2 linked regions of the Yarrowia lipolytica genome follow. The protein of the gene in region 1 interacts with the protein of each later gene in a pairwise test. Links are inferred from orthologs where the notes say so. Each region holds a gene or a part of one and is shown on either strand. Other genes may lie near its edges.

The links.
Region 2: the proteins of YALI1_F23446g (region 1) and YALI1_C23989g interact in binary tests that used the Saccharomyces cerevisiae proteins (3 or more experiments, as listed by UniProt). The link is inferred for Yarrowia lipolytica from reciprocal best matches to the Saccharomyces cerevisiae genes COG3 and SED5.

What each region holds. Positions count from the first base shown.
Region 1 is NC_090775.1:2,336,143-2,347,634, forward strand, and holds YALI1_F23446g (uncharacterized protein), read left to right. Parts: upstream 1-8,493; coding exon 8,494-10,845; downstream 10,846-11,492. Other genes in the region: YALI1_F23364g (uncharacterized protein), read right to left, coding at 21-330, 397-422; YALI1_F23368g (mitochondrial 54S ribosomal protein bL12m), read left to right, coding at 713-777, 930-1,356; YALI1_F23391g (uncharacterized protein), read right to left, coding at 1,876-3,015; YALI1_F23399g (mitochondrial 54S ribosomal protein mL61), read left to right, coding at 3,850-4,611; YALI1_F23414g (uncharacterized protein), read left to right, coding at 5,263-6,519; YALI1_F23441g (uncharacterized protein), read right to left, coding at 6,729-8,030; YALI1_F23474g (uncharacterized protein), read right to left, coding at 11,138-11,346, 11,406-11,424. UniProt on the Saccharomyces cerevisiae protein: Acts as a component of the peripheral membrane COG complex that is involved in intra-Golgi protein trafficking.
Region 2 is NC_090772.1:2,393,763-2,403,928, forward strand, and holds YALI1_C23989g (uncharacterized protein), read left to right. Parts: upstream 1-5,137; coding exon 5,138-6,058; downstream 6,059-10,166. Other genes in the region: YALI1_C23948g (uncharacterized protein), read right to left, coding at 1-1,080; YALI1_C23950g (uncharacterized protein), read left to right, coding at 1,278-1,730; YALI1_C24016g (uncharacterized protein), read left to right, coding at 7,878-10,166. UniProt on the Saccharomyces cerevisiae protein: Required for vesicular transport between the endoplasmic reticulum and the Golgi complex. Acts as a target organelle soluble NSF attachment protein receptor (t-SNARE).

The DNA of each region.
Region 1 (11,492 bases):
CAACCCTCGAATAATCCCCTCTAAGACCGGAAAATGTTGTTGCAGTTGTTGCAGACAAAAAACAGAATCATGGTGGTCTCCGCACGCTTCTGTTGCGACTGGAAGAAGACCACATCGTGCTCGTGACACTTGGGACACTCCTTGTCGGATCGAGGCAGAGTGGGATCTGCTCCAATACCGGTTGTCACTCCGGCCGTCTCCTCAATGTTGGTGATCAGCTGATGCTTGAACACCAGAGGAGTGGATGCAAACTCCGTGTACGGACAGTTTCGGCATGCAAACAGCAGCTTTCTATCCTCCTTATCCTCTCTCGGATAGAGCATGTTGTTGCTGGGTTAGCGCTGGTCCTCGATCATTTCTCGTCCTCTCGTTATCTAGTTCTCTCTGATCACTCACCACTCGAGACAAAATCGCGACGTCATTTTGGTTCCGTCTTGTTCCACACACTGAGCTGTCGTCTGCTGTGTGTTTTTCAAAGCCCAGTGAAGATGGTGTTCTGCAGCTCTATGGCAAACTCTAAATGTGCGCACGAGTCTATTCTTCCCGTCTCTAATCCCCCTCCCTCTGACTACAAGTATAGTGATTGGGAGGTTTGGGACACCACAGTACAAGAGCAAGGCCGGGTAACCCTCCGTCACGCACCCTGAAAATTTGAAAACTCACCTACAGCAGCGTCTACACTGAGTCCATCTCAACCCCATACAACCGCACAATGTCTGCTCTTCGAATGTCTCTTCGAGTTGCTCGAGTCGCCCGTGTGGCTCGAGTTGGTGTTCGGTGAGTATTAATTGCGAGATTCACTCCTTGATTGTTTTTCTCGACATTGAAATCAAGCCAGATCACCAGCCAGATCATGTCATCAACTCACAAAAGCACTGATCTGAAGACGAAACGCTTCAAAAAAACCCACCCAGCTCCAACTAACACAGATTCAACTCCACCGCCGCCCCCGTGGACCCCAAGATCACCGCTATTGTCGACCAGATTGCCCAGCTCAACCTGCTGGAAACCTCGTCTCTGGTGACCGAGCTCAAGAGCCGACTCAACATTCCCGATATCTCTTTCCCCGCCGCCGGAGCCGCCCCCGCCGCTGCACCTGCCGCTGCTGCCGAGGAGGCCGCCCCCGAGCCCGTCGAGGAGAAGACCATCTTCAACATCAAGCTGGAGTCATACGATGCCAAGGCCAAGCCTAAGGTGATCAAGGAGATCAAGACCCTGCTCGGTCTGTCTCTGGTCGACGCCAAGAAGATTGTTGACGCCGCCCCCAAGATGGTCAAGGAGTCCGTCCCCAAGGAGGATGCCGACAAGATCAAAAAGGTGCTTGAGGATCTCGGCGCCAAGATTACTCTTGAGTAAGTGTATATAGTAACTCATTTTGAACCAGACAAAATACGAGTGCGAACCACGAGTATTGGATGCTCTTCTGGCTGGAGAACTGGAACGTAGTTGGAGTAGTAGTCGTTGTTGCCCTTATGGTACGGCTGTGATACGACAGAGTACTTTCAAGATGTAAAGCATGAAATACGACGAAGGAAATGTTTGCTTGACTGTTTAGATATGTTGACAATATCAATAGCCTTTCGGATAGTCAGATATCGGTACTGAAGCAGTGTGATTTCCTTGACCTAATCACTTACTCATATGTTACGTTGATGACATGATCTGAATGCCAATGGGCAACAGTTTCATATCTTCCAGCTGAAACATCTCAATTGCATCTACAACCGTCTATAATCACCAGGTGGTTGTACATTACTAATAAATTATTCTACATGTTGGTATGAACGCCGTCATTGGATAGCTACGGCTAGGCATACCAGAATCCCGTTTTTTTATCACCTCTTGATCTCGTTTTAAGCACCCACTACTCCTTCGTTAAAAGTCTGGGCTCATGCTCATGCTCTTCTGCCGTCTATTGTGGGCAGCAAGGCGTCTAGCGTAGCTAGGAGTTCCGAGTTCTGAGGGCGTGGCTGGAGTAACAGATCTCAACGACGACGACCGGGGCATCCGGGGAGTGGTCGGATGTTGTGGGGGGGGCTGCACGAATTGAGGAGCATACTGCTGTTGTTGAGACGGCGGTATCTGTTGTTGGGTGTAGGGACTCTGGTAGGGGCTGCTAGAGCTGTATCCCTGAGGACTAACAACACCAATGACACTTCTTCGGTTGGTTCTCTTGATGGCATGGATCTCTAGTTTCTTCTCGAGGATCTTGACGAAGGAGGAAAGAGCCACTAAATTGTTTGAGATGCCTTCTGAGAGGCCAGATTGGCCTGGTAAGTGGCACAGGGCAGTCATCTCCTCGTACATGGTATACAAGGACTCGTAGAGATCTGCATCCAAATTCTTCAATCGGTTCAGCGACATTTCAATGTCAATCATGTCCTCCGAGTGATCAAAGTTGGACATAGTGGACTGCCCAGTGTGTTGAGTTTGCAGAGGTTGTTGTATATGGGCTCTCTGATGCTCCATTTCCGACTCTATGGACTCGCACGATTCGCTGGACTCGTTTGATGCAAACGACGTGTCTCCATCTGCTCTGGAGACTCCCTCCTGTTCCGTTTCGGTGCCTGCCGAGTCTTCGGAGTTCTCATCATCTCCCTCCATCTCAGACTCCATGTTGAGACGTCTGATACGTTCTCTGAGAGCTCCTAACGCCGACCACGCCGAAGAGGGAGGCTCAATAGTCTCGGGCTCCAAATCACGCACGTCCCGCAACGTGGACGAGCGATGATGGCTCTTGTACGCTGGCTTACCACCTGCAGGGGACCCCGATCCAAGACCGCCCATGTATCCGTTGTTGAAGGCTGGAAATGAGTTGACGCTGGTCGAGTGGGTATGCGACGTGTGTGGACGACCTGCTGTCTGTGGTCTGTGCCCGTGAGATGTGTTTGGACGTGGTGCTCCTCCACCATACAGAGATGAGCTTCTGGACCGCGACATTTGGGTGTTTGCGAACGGGTTTTCTTCGCGGTCACCTGAACGGCTGCCGCGTCGGTTGGTTTTGTAGGGGAACATGTCAGGCCTAGTCGAGAGTTATGTCTGTGGCTGGGTATCGGTGTCTGTCTCTTAATGGCTTACCGTGGTGGAACGTTGAGTCAGAGTTGGTGTATGCAATGTATATCGTTGAGTTGTTAGTCGTTGAGTAGTTTGTTTCTCACGGACTGTCTGTGTCGTATCTCCTCTCAATTGGCAAATCCACTTCTGTTAGACTGGTGACCGTCTAGATCAAACCTGGCCATCAACGCGTCTTTCCTGTAATCGTGTGTGTTAAAGTTGATGTTGGCACCTGCAGGCTGTTTCACAGCATGTAGTCAGGGTCTATTCAACTGTCCAAATATCGACTTTCTCAGAAAATATTTGCATCCCAGGTATCTGGACGCGGTGTGTTGTTGAATACATCTTGTTCAAACGCCATTAAGTGCACAGAGACACCAAATACGGGTCGCCTAATGACGCCCATAACCTCCTGGACTCACCCTTACAACTTAAAAACACTTGTGAAGGAGGAGTGTTCTAATTTGGGTTAAGTAAACGTTATAACAGAATACTTGAGAAGTACTTGAACTTATTGCTACGTAAACGATCCTTAAAACTGCTCCAAAAATCAAAGAAAAAGCATGTGGAAAAAAAAAAACATAGATATTTTGGTCCACTTTCAACATTTCCAAGTATATTCTTACCCTTCACTTCGTTCCTACATCCACCTTAAAGCCCCCTCAATATCACCACCACTTCCTATATGTAACCTTAAATCTCTTACCCTACCTGTTTTCATCACCAAATTTCCTAGCCAAAATACTGCTTGAAACCGCACCTGATCTGACATATTCAGACCACACAACTAGCAAAATGTCGTCCAAACAGTTGGCAAAAAACCTCCGTCAGACCTACCAGAACATGACTGGAGTCGACAAGCAGATTTTCCAGCTCAACAAGGTCGTCACCGCTCCTGGAGCATACAAGCTGCCCGACAATGTCTCGGCTCTGAAGCTCCGTTTCAAGGACTCTGGTAACCGGTCTCAGACCAAGCTGTTCTGGACCCATTCGCTGCCCACTCTGCAGTTCTGGAACCCCTCCGTCGCCATGAGTGTGTCTCGAGTCCAGGCTCCTAAGGAGAAGTCCGTTGGACCTACCGTGACCATCACTCGAACTGATGGCTCCGAGGAAACCATTTCTATCGCCTCCATGTTCTGGGAGAAGATGGCCGAGACCATTGCTGAGGCTGCCGGAGCAACCCCTGTCTCCGCCGGCGAGCTCAAGAAGTACTCCATCCCCTTTGTCACCGACTACGACAAGAAGATGGAGCTGGCCAAGAAGACCCATCTGCGAGATGTGGCCTTTGCACAGAAGGTGGAGCTGCACAAGCAGCAGGAGGCAGACCGAGAGGCCCTGGAGCTGGCGGCCAAGGAAGAGGCCAAGGCCGCTGCCCAGAAGAAGAAGGACGCCATGATCAAGGCCCGAAAGGAGGGACGAGTTTACATTGAGGGAGAGGAGAACGAAGTTAAGGAGGCTGCTGTCGAGGTTGAGCAGAAGGTGACCGAGGAGGTGGCCGAGGATGGAGCCAAGATCGAGATCAAGGAGACCGAGGTCAAGATCGAGACCAAGAACTAGAAAGAGTAAATATGTGGATCTCTCGTGAACAGTAATGGCACGTGAGACGGTATATAGTTCCATTACATGATTTATTATGACACACCCATAGGTGTGAGCGTCGCGAGTGATTGTACACATACGGGTACTACTTGTAGCTACAAGTACAGCTGTTGGCACTTGTACATACTACACTATTGTCAGCCTAACATAATGCCAAAGGGGGGGGGGGGGGGGGGGGGGGGTCGCTAATGCCAATAGTACAGCATTTTGGAGTTCGTGGGTAATTAGAGGTGCTGGGGATTCCGAGTGGTTTATGTATCGTTACGATATGTTCTTTATTGCTGTTTGAAGGGGGAACAGTTCAGGTTCTTGAAGGGGGTACAAGCAAGTACATCATCATACTTGAGCGGTAAATTTGGGCCTCGGTATGTAGTAATTAGGGCATTGGAAAGATCCTGTTAACTCGGGTTTACATTGCCAATGTGCACAAATCCTTTGCATTTTCCAACAAGTAATTTATATGAAAATGTCTCCATTATTTCCGTCACTCTTTCAACCACTTTCAGCTCTGCAGAAATGATGCAGCTTAATCTGGGTTCGAAAAATTATTTTGGATTAATTATTTCAAACTGATTTCACACCCCAGTTACCGACTTAAACACACACACAATGTCGTTCATGTTCCAGGTTGACGGATGGAATCTGTCCAACGATGTCAAGGCTGATAAGTTGACCAAGCGTCAGAAGGAAAAACGAGACCAGCAGGCCGAGCGAGGCGTCATGATGCGGGAGAAGCGAGAGCAGCGAGAGAAGGAGCGAGCGGATGACGAGAAGGCCGCCGAGGCTGATGCCAAGGCCAAGGCTGAGGCCGCTAAAGCTGCTGAGAAGGCTTCTGCTGCTGAGGATGCTGCTGATTCTGGCAAGAACAAAAAGAGCAAGAAGGACAAGAAGAAGGATAAGAAGGATAAGAAGGCCAAGGCTTCTGAGACTGAAGAGGCTTCCAAGCCAGCTGCTCCTCCTGCTGAAGCGTTCACACAGGCTCCTGCCGCCAAGCTGACACCTCTTCAGCTCAAGATGAAAGAGAAGCTGGCCGGATCGCGGTTCCGATGGATCAACGAGCAGCTGTATACTGTTCCCTCCGAAGAGGCTCTCAAAATGATTACCGACAACCCCGAGATTTTTGACGAGTATCATGCTGGATTCCGAAACCAGGTGCAGGGTTGGCCCGAGAACCCCGTGGACACCTTTGTCAAGCGGTTTACCGAGAGGCTCAACAAGCCTGTGTGTTCTCCTGGAGGGCTGCCTGCTCACAAGCGCGAGAACAAGATTGTGGTGGCCGATATGGGCTGTGGAGAGGCGCAGCTGGCGCTGGATCTGAGCAAGATCAACTTCAAGAAGAAGGGCGTCAACCCCCAGAACAAGAACCTGGTGGTCGAGACCCAGTCGTTTGATCTGAAGAAGGCCAACGAGCGAGTGACAGTGGCAGATGTGAAGAATGTGCCCATGGAAGACAACTCCGCTGACATTGTCGTCTTCTGTCTGGCTCTTATGGGAACCAACTTCCTGGACTTCATCAAGGAGGCCATGCGAATTCTGCGGCCCAATGGAGAGCTGTGGATCGCCGAGATTAAGTCTCGATTCACCGACGGCCAGACCGACGAGTTCATCAAGGTGCTCAAGAGCCTCAGCTTCTTCCACAAGCTCACAGACGACGAAAACACGCACTTTGTGCGGTTCGAGTTCTTCAAACCCACCCAAGAGATTCTCGCCCAACGAAAGAAGAAGGTGCCAAAGCGAAAGTTCATTGACTATGGAGATGAGGAGGAAAAGAAGGGACCCGAGGACGGCGAGCAGCTCGAGAAGAGACGAAAGAAGCAGGCTGAGGGCGAGTGGTTGCTCAAGCCTTGCATTTACAAGCGACGATAGAGAGACAGTACAAGTACCGGTAGCTTGATGGCTGTCAGTTAACTATATATAACAAAAACCAGAACAGTGGTAAACTACTATAATAGATTTGTATAAGTAATACTTTTTGTATCATCATCATCCTCCTCATCCTCATAATAATCATCATCATAGTCACTCTATTATTGAAACTATTGTTTTCTAGGAACTTTTAGACCTGCAAGTGTGTCTTAAGTGGTTGACAGAATGGTGTTGATCATCTCGTTGCCAATTCGAGTGGCTTCAGGGAACATGTGAGCAAAGTATTTTTGGGTGTCGTTGAACTCCTGCTCGTACAGTTTGTAGGAGCCGTAAGAAACGACCTTAGACCACGTTCGAGCAGCCACCACAAACTCCAGATCGTCGGGTCGGAAGTCCTGGTTAGTAATGGAGTGTTTGATGCACTGTTCGAGCAGTCCTGGAGTGCAAAAGACGTATTCAGTGACACCCAGCCAGATTCGGAACAGAGGTGTCGAGCAGATGACGTGGTCGTAGGGGTTGATCTTGAGTTTGTGCCACGAGTCGACAATGGACAGCAGTGACAGATGCGAGTTCGGCTTTTGTGTTTCTCCCAGGGGTTTGGTTCCGAGCGAAAACTTTTCGAGAATCTCATCGGACAGCAGCAGCGAGTGTTCCTTCTTGAGGCCTCCAAACACAAAGTCTCGGGCAGCCGTAAGGCGGTCAAGCAACTCCTGCTCCTTGCCTGTGATCATGAGTTTGTACAGATCGCCGGCACTGGATGCGTACTGCTGGATCTGAACCTTGGCAGCGGGGTTTGAGATGGCCAGACCGGCATAGACGTGCCATTTATTGGAGTAGATTCGCAGCGAGATGTTCATCTTTGCGTTTTCCAGACCTCCGATCCAACGGCTTATCTGCCAGGGGTACTGTCCGTTCGCCTGCCAGGCCTTGCCCATGGTCAGAAATGCGGCGTGAGTCACAGCCTGTGTGTCGGCAGTGATTTTGTCGTGTTGCTCTGCCGACAGGTAGACAATCTTGGACTTGAGTGACTCCAGCAGTGACTGCACAAACTCGAACTTCCACTCCTCGGTGTTTCTGTGTCGGATAATCACCAGAGGCATGCCCTCGGGGTTGACTTTGGGGCCGTGTAGTGAGTGGCACGAGATGATATCCACGTCAGAGGGCAGATGTGCCTCGAACGCAGCCATCTCGGGAGCCTTACAGGACGTTTGACCACCTACAATGGAACCGACCTTTGTAGAGGGACCGTAGATGCTGACAATCTTGCCGATATTCTCGGCCTCGACGCAGTAGAGAATGTAATCGCACTTTCGAGACACATAGTGGCCATTCTGGACGATTTCAATCTCCGAATCGGCAAATTCCTCCTTGAGCTTCTCATAGTGGGATTCCTGATCACAGGCCAGCACTTTCCAGCCCTGAGAGTTCCAGTGGTTAGCAAACAGACGGCCCATGTCGCCCATGCCAATCACACCCACTAGCTTGGTTTTCTTCCATTCCTCAATAGACATGTTGTAGAGCGTGGCGAAAGTACAATGTATCGTGTCGTAGAAATGGTGTTTCCGGATCTCCATATTGAGACTAAAACCTTATGCGGATAGTGAAACTCCGAGGTGGAATGGAGGTGAAGGTATAGGGGGCTTAAAACGTGGTATTTTAGAACTGAATTTTTAATTTCTGGATCTTGAATTGGTTGTGATTGAAATTTGACATTTCTATTTCTCATAACATATCTTTTACCCCTGTCATTGTCGAGTTTCTACTTTCCTAAAATCATTAACAAACTTTTAGCTTATGCTGAAGTATATTCAACTAAACGGATCACCTTGAACTTCCATCTACCACGGTGATCTGATTCGGAAGAAACTGAAACATAAGCCGAGGGGTTGACTGGTCTTTTTTTGTATGTAAATTACCTGTTGTTATTCAAACTCCTTTACCCAGTTACCCACTACATTTGTTCTCCTACTTCTCATGTCACTCCAAACACACGCGCAACTCTATTTGCACATCCGACATACGTGGTACAGCTCTCCATACCCACACCCGGAGGATAGACGTGGTTACACAGCAAGAGAGATGTACGACGAATGGGCATACATGGACGCGGCGAAGCCGGCTCCAAAGCCGGTAAGCCCGAAGAGATCACGTGCCAAAAGCATCATTCAGTCCGTGGCCGTGGAGAAGGTGGTCCAAGTGACCCAGACAGATGTGCTGGAGGTGCCTCCTTTGCGTCGACGGACACAGAGCGTCAATGTGGGCTCGCTGGAGAGACCCGAGGTTGAGAAACTGCGCACAGAATGGCCATTCTCGAGGAGAGAAGTGGAAGAGCTCTTTTCTCCTTCCGGAAACAGCTCCCTACAACAATCAGCATCGTCATCACAAGAAACAAACACGCCACAGCTCCAAAGGGCCACCACCATGTACATGCAGGCCACGTCGTACTCGCTGACGTGCTCCAAGCTGCTGGACCAGACTAACGACATCATTGGCTTGTTGGACACTCTGTCCGTTTCATTCCTCAAGGTGGAAAACGACACGGAGAAGTTCCAACGCGAATGCAATGCGCTCATGGACGAACAGACACATTTGGAAACTCTCATCGGTAATCTGCAACAGAATCTCGACATGTTCACCCGCATTGAATCTGTCCAGAGACAGGTGACAGGAGGCAGTCACAACTTCATCAAGACGCCAGCGTTTAGATCCATTCTGCAGCAGATTGACGAGTCGCTTGTCTATATCCCCGAGCACAACAACTTCAAGGGTGCTGAGGATTATGAGCAGCGCTTCATGGCACTTTTAGTGCGATGTTTACGTCTGGTGGTGGTGTATTTCGGCAACAAGGTGACGGATATTGGCGCAGAGGCACAGGAAAAGATGGCTACCGTTTCTTCGTCGGCAGCCAGTCATGCTCTCATGTACAGCAAGTTTGAGCAGGCCACTAACCTGGGAGAAATGGTGTCTGAGGTGTCAAAGCGAGCTCAGTATCCACAGATTGAGCCCATGATGCAGGAGCTATACCAAAAGTATTTTGCAGCCCGTCAACCAATCCTGCGACCTCACATTGATAAATCTGTGTTTGACATTAACTCCTCCAGTGGCACAGACAGCGTCAAATTCTGTCGGAAGGCGCTGTCGTTGTACAAGCAGATTTTCAGCGACGAGAAGCGGCTCTTTGACCATTTCTTCCCCGACGAGGGCCATGGTCGACTTGCTGAATGGATGGATGGACTGTTTGAGGGTCTGTATGACCAGCTTCGAACTCGAATACTTCGAGATCGGTCTGTTTCTGTCTTGTGTGAGATTGCCGTCATCCTGCAGGACGATGAGAGTATGGATGACGATGGCTTTGGCAACCTGGTTTTCAACGCACTACAAGACGTCCAGTCACGGTTGGTGTTCAGGGCCCAAAATATCATTGATCATGAGATTGTTAACTACGTTCCTGGAGACGGAGACTTCTTGATTGGTAGCAGAAGGACCAATGAAAAAGAAGATGATAAGACAGCTTCTTCTTCTGTTGGCGACGAATCTAACGCCGATATCTCCAATGATCTCCTTCAGGGCTGGTACCCTCCTCTACGACGAACTGTGATTTTACTGTCGCAAATATACCAGTTGGTCAACTCGCATGTTTTTGATACCATGGCTCACAATGTGTTGCACGACTGTATCACTTCGTTGAATGTTGCACGTGTGGTGGCTCAGAAGCGCCTGGGTCCGTCTGACGCCGAGCTCTGGTTTATCAAGAACCTGTTGATGCTCAACTCACAGGTGGCTGAGTTTGACATTCAGTTTGTGCCTGAGGAGAAGCAGCTTGACTTCTCGGGAGCTCTGGGCATTCTGGGCCAGATTGCGCGTGAGCGACGTGTGACCACCGACAAGGATGGCATTGCTGGTCTTGCACGAGCCTCTCTGCCTCGAGTCATTAACTCCATGATGGACGCTCGTGTGGAACTTTCTGCCAACCTGCGTAACGCCATCTCCACCATGACCGAGTCTGAGGTGCGCCACATTGCCAAGAGCATCATGACGGACCCCAAACCGGAGAACATTGTGACTGACACGCGGCAACTGCGAGAAGACACGGCCTCGGAGATTCCGCGGTCGTACACGAAGATTAAGTCGTATGTGGACGATGCCCAGGCTGCGGATGTGCTGATTGAGGCCATCCAGGACTTGTTGGTGCGCAACTACGACGAGTATCATCGTAAGATGGTCACTCGGGGCAAGCCTGAGCAGCTGGAGGCTCTTATGGAGGTGGATGGATTCGTCAGTTGGGTTGGAGACGTTATTCAAAAGTTGTATATTAGTGAGCAATAAGTTAGAGGGTGGACATGTAAATACGACTGAACGCATGATGAAGGAATTACATGGAGAGTGGGGGAGACTTGTAGAGAGTCGGTAGAAAAAAGACCACATAAAATAGACCACCAGTTACTACGGGTGTGTATTCGTTGTAAACTACAGTAGACAGCTGCAATACACAGTATCATTGTCGCGTATTGTACAACAGGCCACATTTATGACAGTATTACTGCAAGGCAGTGTGTAGAGTAGGAACGGTCCATCCACTTTGTCTGCAATTTTATTGAATAAATAATCCGTCGACTGTCTACTTTCCAGTCGCTTTGGCAGCCTCCTCGTTGGGGTTGTATGTGTTTTCGGCCAGCATCTTGTTGAGCTTCTGTTTGACCACCTCGACCATGGAGGGGTGGATCATGAGATGGGTGTCATCCAGCTCGTCCAAAATGATGTTGTGTTGCGACGAGTCAATGTTGACGATGAGCGCCTTGATGGAGGGATCGCATTCAATCAGAACGCCTGCGTTAGTTGTCTGCTCACCGGCTGGTTTTTTCCGCTGTCGAATTCTCCCTACTCACCTCTGGTGGCCTTTGGCATGTTGATGAAGCGAACTTTGATTGGGATCAGAGTTGTGATGAAAATAGGTGTAATGATCAGTTAGAGGT
Region 2 (10,166 bases), on another chromosome or scaffold:
GATTCGAATGGCCATGTTGGCGAGCTTGGCTCGGATGACGGGGTGCTCAATCAGAGGCTTGCCGAAAGTCTTTCGCTTGTGGGCGTACTTGCAGGCCTCCTCGTAGCAAACTCGAGAAGCTCGGTTTGCCTGGATGATGATACCAACTCGCTCGTGGTTGAAGTTGGTCATGATGACCTTGAAACCCTTGTTCTCCTTGCCGAGCAGGTTCTCCACGGGGACCTTGACATCCTCCATGGTGACCCAGGTAGAGCCGGAAGACAGCATACCCTGAGTGTTCATTCGTCGGGTCTCAAGACCCTCCATGCCTCGCTCGAGCAGCAGAACAGAGATACCGTTCATGCCAGAGCCGGGGCCACCGGTTCGGACGGCAACAGTGAAGTAGTCAGCCCAGATACCGTTGGTGATCCACTTCTTGATACCGTTGACAATGTAGAACTTTCCGTCGGGGGTCTTCTCGGCGGTAGTGGTGATGTTGGCAACATCGGAGCCAGCGTCGGGCTCAGTGATACACAGACAGATTCGCTTGGAACCGTCGAGCAGGCCGGGGAGGATTCGCTCCTTAAGGGGCTCCTTGGCGAACTTGATCACGGGAGGCAGACCAATACAGTAGCCACCAAGCAGGTTCCAGGTGAGACCTCCGGAGCCAGCTCGCATGATCTCGTCGGTGATGATGAGCTCGTGGAACATGTCGTACTCCTCAATGGGCACAGAGGCGGGCTTGACGTTGGTGTACTTGGCCAGCTCCTTGTAGGGGGTGCCGAGAGAGCCGGCAAGGTAACCTCGCTTGCCCATCTCCTGGAAGATCTCCTTGGGAACCTCCTTCTCCTCATCCCATTCCTCAACGAAGGGCTCAATCTTCTCCTCAACCCACTGTCGGACCTCGTCACGCAGCTTGGCGTGGGACTCCTTGTAGTAGGGGTTGTGGTAGCCGTGGTACCAGTTGGGGTCGGCGTAGGGGACAAGGTCTCCGTAGGGCTCGAGGGCGGTGGTCTTGTTAGGGGCAATCATGGCTCGAGTGGGGTTTGCTTCAGCGTCTTTAAGGGTTCCGATCTTGAACTTGTGTCCAACCTTTCGCATAATCTTGGGGGCGTCGTGGTATTTGTGGAAAAACTTGGTAGCGTCTTTTCCTGCGACTCGTTTGAGAATCTTTTTTCCGCCGGGGTGTTCTTTCTGGAATTCAGTGAGGTCGAAAACGTTACCGTCAATGATGATCCACAGAGATTCGGGAGAGTTGTGCTCCGCAACTTGCTGTCGTTAGCGCTGTATATATACACATGAGTGGTGCAATAGGCTTTAGGCACATTAATGCACATGTACCGAGGGAAGGTTGGAAGGTTGGTTTGTGTGGGGAGGTTATGCAACGTGGCGGCGGTGGTGGCGGTGGCAACACCAAGCGGCGGTGGGTGGGTCAATCGATCGATTGGGTGATTCGTTCGATTGATTGCCGCAGTCCCGGTCCATGTTCACTATCTACCTCAATTCCTATCACACTACCGCAGTGGCTAGTGTGTACCCCAGATGTCACACCACCTAAGGGGCCGAATAGAGTTCATCGGCTTTGGGGGGTTAAGGTTGTTTCTGTGGGGAACGTGATTTTCAGAGCAGTCAGGGCAAGAGACGTTGGAGGCTACCAATTGCTGCAGAACCATTGGTGGTGGGTTCGGCTCAGTTTCCGGAGCTCCGAAAGCGACTCTCCAAGTCTCCCACCTCCTGTTCACCTCACCTGACGTCACTAGCCCACATCCACCGCAATACCTCGGCACATGCAACCAAACCTAAAATTATCCCCAGCACATGTCACATTATGGAGGCAATCTGACCATTGCGGAAAGAAACGGAGCAAGTGGCAGTGGTCGCTGATCGCCGGGAAAGGCCCAGCCTGAGAAAGACAGAGGAAGAGACAAACACAAACACAGACACAAACACAAAGCCTGACTCAGCAAGTGAAAGGGAGAGGGCGATCTAGACCGTCCAATCCGACTGGGAAGAGATGGACGGTCCAGATAGACAGAGCGTCTAGAGAGAGCCGTCTAAGCAATGTGTCTAGGGGCTGTGTCCAAACAATCTGTCTAAACGATCTGTGTAAAACAACCCGTCTAGATGGCATTTTCCCTGGCGGCGGCGCGTGACCAAGTTGCTCTAGAAGCCCTGTCCCAGTTACAAAGCCCGACTCTGAGATCCAGAATCTCTCCTGGCCATCTGTGTCGCCCAACCAATTCCGTTTGTCACCGCTGTCACCACCGTTTGTGTCTGTGTCGATACTGCCATCCCGCTACAACATGTCCCGTCTTCAGACTTGTGTCTGCTGTCGTGACCTGACCTGACCCGACCCCGTTGCACCATCTGCACTCTCACCGCCTCTGGCGCCTCTCTTTACCTCTGCCACGTTCGCCAAAACGTCCGCCAATCTCCCAGATCGCTCATACTCACTTCGGGGGTGTACTGCTCGCTCATGTTGTTGTGCTTCAGGTGTTATACCGTGTGAGTCTGGGGTTCTGGAGTCCGCGTGGGATTTATATCCAACCTAGGCCAAACTAGGTTTTCCCTTGTGTCAGCAAGTGGAGACCGGGCCAATCAGCGGCCAGCCAAAGTAAGATGGGGGCCGAATACTGCGTTTGAGACGCTTCTCCGGTCTACGATAAGGTCTGCCGAATCTGGTGGGGCGGTACGCATCCACATTTAGCCCAAATCTAGGTTCGTTTTGGACCTTTTTTGGTAACGTGATTGTGAGTATGTACGCAGTCTACATTGTAGCATTTGACATGTTGAACAAGTGCGAGTATGGTACATACAGAACTTGCAACTACCGAGTGCAACCACCAAGTACCGTACCGTACACCATCTCATATACATGTGTCTGAGGCTGTTGCAACGGTTCGCTCGATTCTCCATCCCGCCTCGAGCAGGACTAAAGAGCATACCAGGCAAGTCCGGTGTGAAGTAGCAACTTGACCTACTTATGACGGGGTTAGGGTTCCCGCAAGAGGGAGCTGGACGGTGGAGAGTGTGGGCAATTGGTGGAGGTGGCAAAGTCGGTTGGTGTGGGTGACTATGACTACGACGACGATTACGAGTATGAATTCGACTACGACTACAGTACTTGTGGTTATGTGTGTCCTGATCTGTTGGCTGTCGATGCACATACCACATTCATCTGGGGGACATGAACCTCGGCTGTACCTTACAGATGAGGTGCCGAGTGCTTAGTAAGCGGTAGGTGAACTTGTCGGAATGGCCAGAGAGAGGGATGTTGCATTGCAGAGACGGCATTTTATTCCTCAGAAGGTGTTTATTCCTTAGAAGGCGTTTATTCCTCAGAAGGCGTTTATTCCTCAGAAGGCGTTTATTCCTTTAATTCGGCCCTTTCTGTCAATACCGAATCGGACCCACACACTTCCAAAGTGGGGTTTAAACCAGATTTGATAATCGTCTGATCGGAAATCTGAAAAAAGCAAGCGATTCCCCTTGCCATTTTGCGTCGTTTCATCCCATTTCAAGTCCTCTCTGACCCAGATAGACCCGTCCAGCATGCACTCTATCGATGTCGATCTTTTTGCATACGGCTTCTGCATGCCCCGCCCCGCCCCACCAATGGCGAAGTTTTAACCTCACGAAAAACAAATTGCGGTCAATTTGCAGGTCCGAACACGCCACCTGTGGCTCAGTCGCCGCCGCTTGGACTCGTATTTTTGTGGCAGTGCAGAACAAAGTGGCCGAAAATTACACACAAGCCTGGAAGTGTATGGCATAACATTCGGAGGCGTGTTTGAGCGTTGTCGGGTTTGAGGTGTGATCGCATGGCATACTATACAGACACCACTATGCATTAGGAGGTACCCGTGTTGGAGTGTTCGAGGAATGTCAGGCTGTCAGTTTGCTCCATAGCAAAGCCTTCCAGAGTACTGTACTTGTACAGAACCCTTTCAGCCAGTCTGCAGGCGATCGACAACTTGGTGAACGTCTGTCGCGGTCCATTTCGCCAATTCTGACTAAGCCGGTAGTGTCCATGTCCATGATGAAAACGGTGGACAAGAGACATCCCCAAGAGGGTTGGCAGTAATAAATTGGACAATGGCCACGGCTACACGCTTCATATACGAAACGTCAACTAATATTCAACTAACCAACAGCTAATCAACAACTAACCAACAGCTAATCGACAACTAAACAACTATGTTAACTAATTCCCAACTAATCTCAGCTATGTTAACTAATTTTCAACTACAAGCAACTAACCACTTCACATTCAAACGAAAAGTGGATGACATGTGAGACTGTTTGTACACAAGATATGGATGATTGGTTCGGGATCGTTAAATCCAACGCACATCTTTCCTTGTCATTGAAAACCTGCTACTGCACATTGTTGTTCTCGGACTCCGTTCAACGGTCCGGCGATAGGAGCAGTTGTATCAAACGGAAATGTTGCGTTTTGCAACCAAGACGAAAAGTGGCAGATCAGAACGGTCTGGTTCACGTGAACCTTCGACTCCTTGTTTTTGGGCCTCTTGACTGACACAACGTGAATGGCTACTTGTTCTCGTAGTAGTGTATGTATGGTGGTGTACCTACCTATCTACAGCTGAGGACTCCCCAACCGTACATGCCTACATAGCAACGAATGCGCAACATGTCAGGTCACCCATATTCCTTGTTCATGGCTGTGCCTGTTCTGTAACAAAGACCTTTAGTGTCTACTATGGTGTGTTTCGGTTCACTAGTGGTACGTACTGGCACTATAAGTAGATCATGTCGGGTTATTTTTTTGGACTGGTTCTCCCATTTAGGAGAAGCACAGCCAACCCCCCTTTTGGCACTTTGCCGATTTTACCGCCGTTTTACAATTTTGGTAGTGGTTTGGGAACCACTCAGATCCTGTTAGAGAGGACATATTGAGACCAGAAAAGACGCAACGATGGAAACCCCGCGCAAATAAATCGATTTATCCACTCGGAAACCCGATTCCTCCGCTCCCCGCCGTTCCACCCATACATTTCCTGCCCCCCATCTCCTCCAATTAAGCTCACGTGCAACTTTACATGCATCCAAATATGAACACCTCACAGTTCCAACACGCCAGAGTGACACTGTCCGACTCAACCTCCCACAACAACAGCACAGTCCCCAGTTCGCGATGCTCTCTGTGCAGAACCGGACCCAGGAATTCAAAAGCGCGGTCGCGGCGCAGGCGCGGCTGCGGCAAAACGCCGTGCCGGCGCCACAAACCCGATCTGCAAAGTCGCAGTTTGCCCAGGACGCGTCGAAAATCGCCGCCGAAATCGCCGACACCACACAGATGCTGCAACGGCTAGCACAGCTGGCGCAGCGCAAGACGCTGTTCGACGACCGCCCCGTGGAGATCAACGAACTGACGCACGTGATCAAACAGAAGGTGTCGCGGGTTAACGAGCAGCTGACCCAGCTCCAGCAACGGGCCAAGCAGTCGACGGGCCAGAAGCAGACCATGGAGCACTCGAAAAACGTGGTGGTGTTGCTGCAAGAAAAGCTGTCGACAGTCACGGCAGGGTTTGCCGATGTTCTGGAGGAGAGAACTCGAAACATCCAGGCATCCAAATCTCGACATGAACAGTTCATTTCCGCCACGTCGGCTTCCACACAACAAGCGGCTTCCAGCCCGCTCTACGGCTCGGGAACAGCTTCGTCCAACCCTTACGATATGCAGATGCAACAGCAGGATCAACTGAGTGGAGCAGACCCAGAAACATCAGACCTGTTGACCCTCCCCCAGCAGGACACGTTACTGCTTGACCAACAAGACATGTACGTGCAGCAGCGGTCGACAGCCGTGGAGGCCATCGAAAGCACCATCCAAGAACTTGGAGGCATGTTTTCGCAATTGGCCACTATGGTGGCGGAACAGAGAGAAACTGTGGCCCGAATCGACCAGAACACCGATGATATCTCGTTGAACGTGAGTGGAGCGCAGAGAGAACTCATGAAGTACTACGCTCGAATCTCGTCGAATCGGTGGTTGATGGTCAAGGTGTTTGGTATTGTTATTGCGTTTTTCATGTTGTGGGTGTTGATTTCGTAAGGCGGCATGTGAACTAGAGAAGACGAATGGAGCAGGGTTTTTCTCGCCAACATTCCATCTTGGTTTGAGGACTAACAGTTGGTTGAAATGTGGTGAAATGGTGTTTTCTTGGTTGAGTGTTTCACTGAACTCCTCATCTCTCTATCCAGTCTTTTGAAAGAACTCTGTCATACCTCTGTCAACAACATGGACTCGGACGCACAGGTGTGGGTTTGCATATACAACCGGGGCACGGGAGAGGAAGGGCAGGCAGGATACATAGTGGAATAGATGGTGTTTGAATGTGCTGGATGTGTCTGGTATCTGGTTCTTGCAGCCACGCGTGGTGTTAGAAGATGGTCTTGTTGAGGACTGTTTGATAATGTGTCTTTTCAATGGACTTGGTTCGCACCGGGCAACCAACTGGATACTTACAACTCCAATCTTGGTGGTGTTTTGCATTGCAACTGTCAATAGCAATAGCTCATTTCTCTGTCAATGGTGCTGGGAAAGGGTGCTGGACCTCTTCTACACGCCCGTTGGATGGCTCGCTGAGGGTCGCAAAGTCCGTGCGAAATGACCTACTTAGAAAATACCTCCGTAAAGAAGACACCTCAGCTCCTCCGTGGCAACACAGACCTGTTGATCTAGAACAAGTCACCCCAGAGACCTCCCGGAGCCCTCCTGGTTCTGATTCTATGACCCTTCAATATTGTATTTCGGCCTACTTCATGGAGACTACCAGAGCGGGTAAAACAGCTCTCATGTTTAGGATGTTCAACATATAAAAATGTAGCTGCTGATCTCACCATTCTCATGGTACCATCAAAATCTCAGTATCTCATGTAAATATAGAAATACTGCGAAACTTGAAATTTGGACCCCCCCCAACCAGAACCCGATCACGTGACCGTAATACCCTGCCACAACCCTCTATGCGGCTTATTTCCCCATGTTTGGGAGCAGCCCATGCACACACACATATGCACACACATATGCAAGTTACGTTTAAAACCACAGGTGCAGCCTTGATGACTAAGCGCATAATACATTCCACTGTTTCATCTGTGTTTCACGGTCGTGCCGAGGGGAGAGTCCATTGGAGATCACGTGTCCAATACTGGGGCATGTGTGTTGGTCACGTGATCTACAATATTGTGAGATTGGTCGCTTTATTGGGTTTTTCCAGGTGTTTTCAGGTGTATTTTTAACATGTTCGTAGAATCAACCGGATTCTCATCTTTGAAAATTGGAGATTTATTGTGGATTTGTGGATTTTAGCATTTTAAAGGATATCATTGGATTTGTGGCAATGAGGACTATACAATGGTGCCATTTATATCTGTCTCTCATTACTCCTTCCTGTTGTGTTCTCTTTTTTTTATACGACCACCCCTATGATGAGCAGTATGTGAGACAACCATAACACTGTATTTTTTCAGGGGTTTCTGAAAAGCTGAAAAATGATCATTTCTGAATTACGGAATATCTATTCTGGTCAAAATTGTTCAAGGAGTTGTTTCCCGCAGTCAAAATCCTTCTATCTTCTCTCAATGATCCCCTATTATCGAATCGGTTATTTATAAAGTTCTTTTCTGCCGCAGCATTTAAGGTTGCTGGCATGCATGATGTTCAAATATAGGCAATCTTGGAGTATCATTTTATCCGACACTATTACAGCTTGAAAGTGAGTATGGCCCGTCTGCGGGGGTGTTTGCAAGTGTCTGGGGCACGTGTGTGGGTCATGTGATGTACACGTGTCGCGTTGCCGCGTGTTTTTGGCCCCACGCTACCACGACTACCCCTCCTCATCGTCCTTGCTACTAACACAGACGACCCCATGGGTCTGCTAGAAAAGACGCTATTTGCGGAAGGAGAGCCGTTTTCCTACGATGGCAACAACCGGGGCAAGCGCAAACTCCGGCCGATGGACGGGTCGAGTTTGCCGCTTGAAAACACTGACTTTTCGGCCGAAACCCTCGATCGACTAGTTGGAAGGAACGTGGTGTCTCCTGCTTCGGACTATTTCCATCTTGGAGAGAGTGGTGAGGTTTCAGAAGAGGTACGCGCAAGACGGGAGCTTCGGGACCGTAGGCTTGCTGCCGAAGAGGAACGTGAGAGGGGAGCGAGAGCCGCAAGAAAGAGAGCTGAAAAGGAAACCTGGAAGGAGATCGAGCAGAAGTACGGCGAGGGGAAGGAGCCTGTGGTTGGAGATTTGCGGCGGCATGTTTCGAAGGATGAAGACGGAAATGCAAAGGAATATGTCCCCTTTGATGAACCGTCGACTTCAATCATTCCTCCTGAAACCAGTCAGGATGGCAATAAGGATTGCAAGCCTCCGAAGGGGGCGTTTGAGAGAGAGACGCCGTCGTACAAGACTGCGTTGCCTATTGGTGAGTACTACCGAGGAAAAGTGGGACCGTTTGATCTATATGGGTACTGTACTGCATTACCCATACTTAACGGAAGACAGGGCTCAGGCCATGGGACCACTGATTGTAGTTGCCTAGTCACTAACACAGCATCATCATCTACCTCATCCAAATCCCGCACGTCCACGTCACCACCATCACCAACATCTTCTTCGTCATCCAACTCGGATACCAAAGAAACACACCATGGACACCAACACGACTACACATACCACGACACGACATCCAACGATTCGTTCAAGGACGCTCTTGAAGAGCTGGATGAACCCAGTGACGACGGAAGCTTCCAGGAGCCGTCGACAGCAAAAAGCACACACAATTTGCATTCCTGGAAAGATGGAGATACCGACACACTGAGAGGAGAGCATGCTGATATCGGCACAGCAGAAATCAGCACTTTGGGCAAGCCAAACCTTAGCATGGGCCACGTGATGGGCCGAACACACTCGCCGTCCATAGCGTCACGTGACTCATCTGCTTACGTGCAGGAGCCTATCTCTATTGTTGAAGATAGTGCGAGTATCGAGGAGGAAGAAAGTATTACAACCACCCGGTCACGTGTATCTTCCCACTCGCGTGACAAAACTGTGTCTCCCTCGCGCCCAGGGTCTCTATCACGTGTTGCATCACGTGACCGAACGGTTTCTCCAGGTGGATCACGCCCCTCGTCTCCTGTTCGATCAAAATCCCCTCCTCTGCCTGCATTTACATCAGCTCGTCACAAGTCGCCACAACGAGTTCCAACACTGGAGTTGCCCGAGGGCGATGGAGGCAATCAGGTGACTAGACATGAGGACGATGCTGTGATTATTGACGACTCAGAGTCCTCCGTCTCAGAATACGAGGTGGAAGCGGATCTTCCTACGATTGACGCAGCCATGGACTCGTCTGAGGAGCAGCTAGAGAACGACATTGATCATCTCGGGATTGGAGACTCGTCACGACTAGACTTGCCGATCCTGCACTCTCTAGAGTCCCATTTGCTGCCTCATATTGAGGGTCATCATCATCATCATCATCATGGCCATGTTCGCAAGAAGCTGATTCGACGACTGTCCAACAGCCGTAAATCGTCCGAGTCGTCCTTGTCGTCGATTGACTCACGTGACTTTTCCCGTCCCGTCCAGTTCTGCAATGAGGTTGGAGTGCCTGATCCCTCCTGGCAGTCCCACGACGTTTCCGATCCAGAGGAGATTTCAGCTCCCATTTTGCCCCGGTTCGAGAGTCTCAAGAAATCGACCAAGGGTAAGAAGATTGGAGGTGGAAGAAAGGGAAGGAGGAGAGCTGCCATTGAGGAGGAGGCCAACAATGGAGGAGAACGCAGTGAGAAGAGGAGTGTCCTTAGCAGCAGAAGGAACAAGGGTAAGGAGGTGGATGATGGATACGAGTCGACTGCGACAGGTAAGTCTAGAAGACCGTCTGTGGCTACTAATGCGACTCTGTCTCCTTCTTTTGGAGCAGTTTCTGATTTTTCGGATATGGACTCGGATGTTGAAGGTATTTGTGGTTTGGAGAGCGGAATGGCAAGCAGGAACAGATCGTCTGTTAGTGTCAACAGCAAACACGCTAGCCTTCTTAGTAAAGCTAGTGCAAAGTCGAAGGCTGCTAGTTTCAAATCTACCACCGGCAACCCCTCTACTGGTAAACCAGCATACGTGTCAAAGATCATTTCGGAAGAGGAATACATCAACGACTAC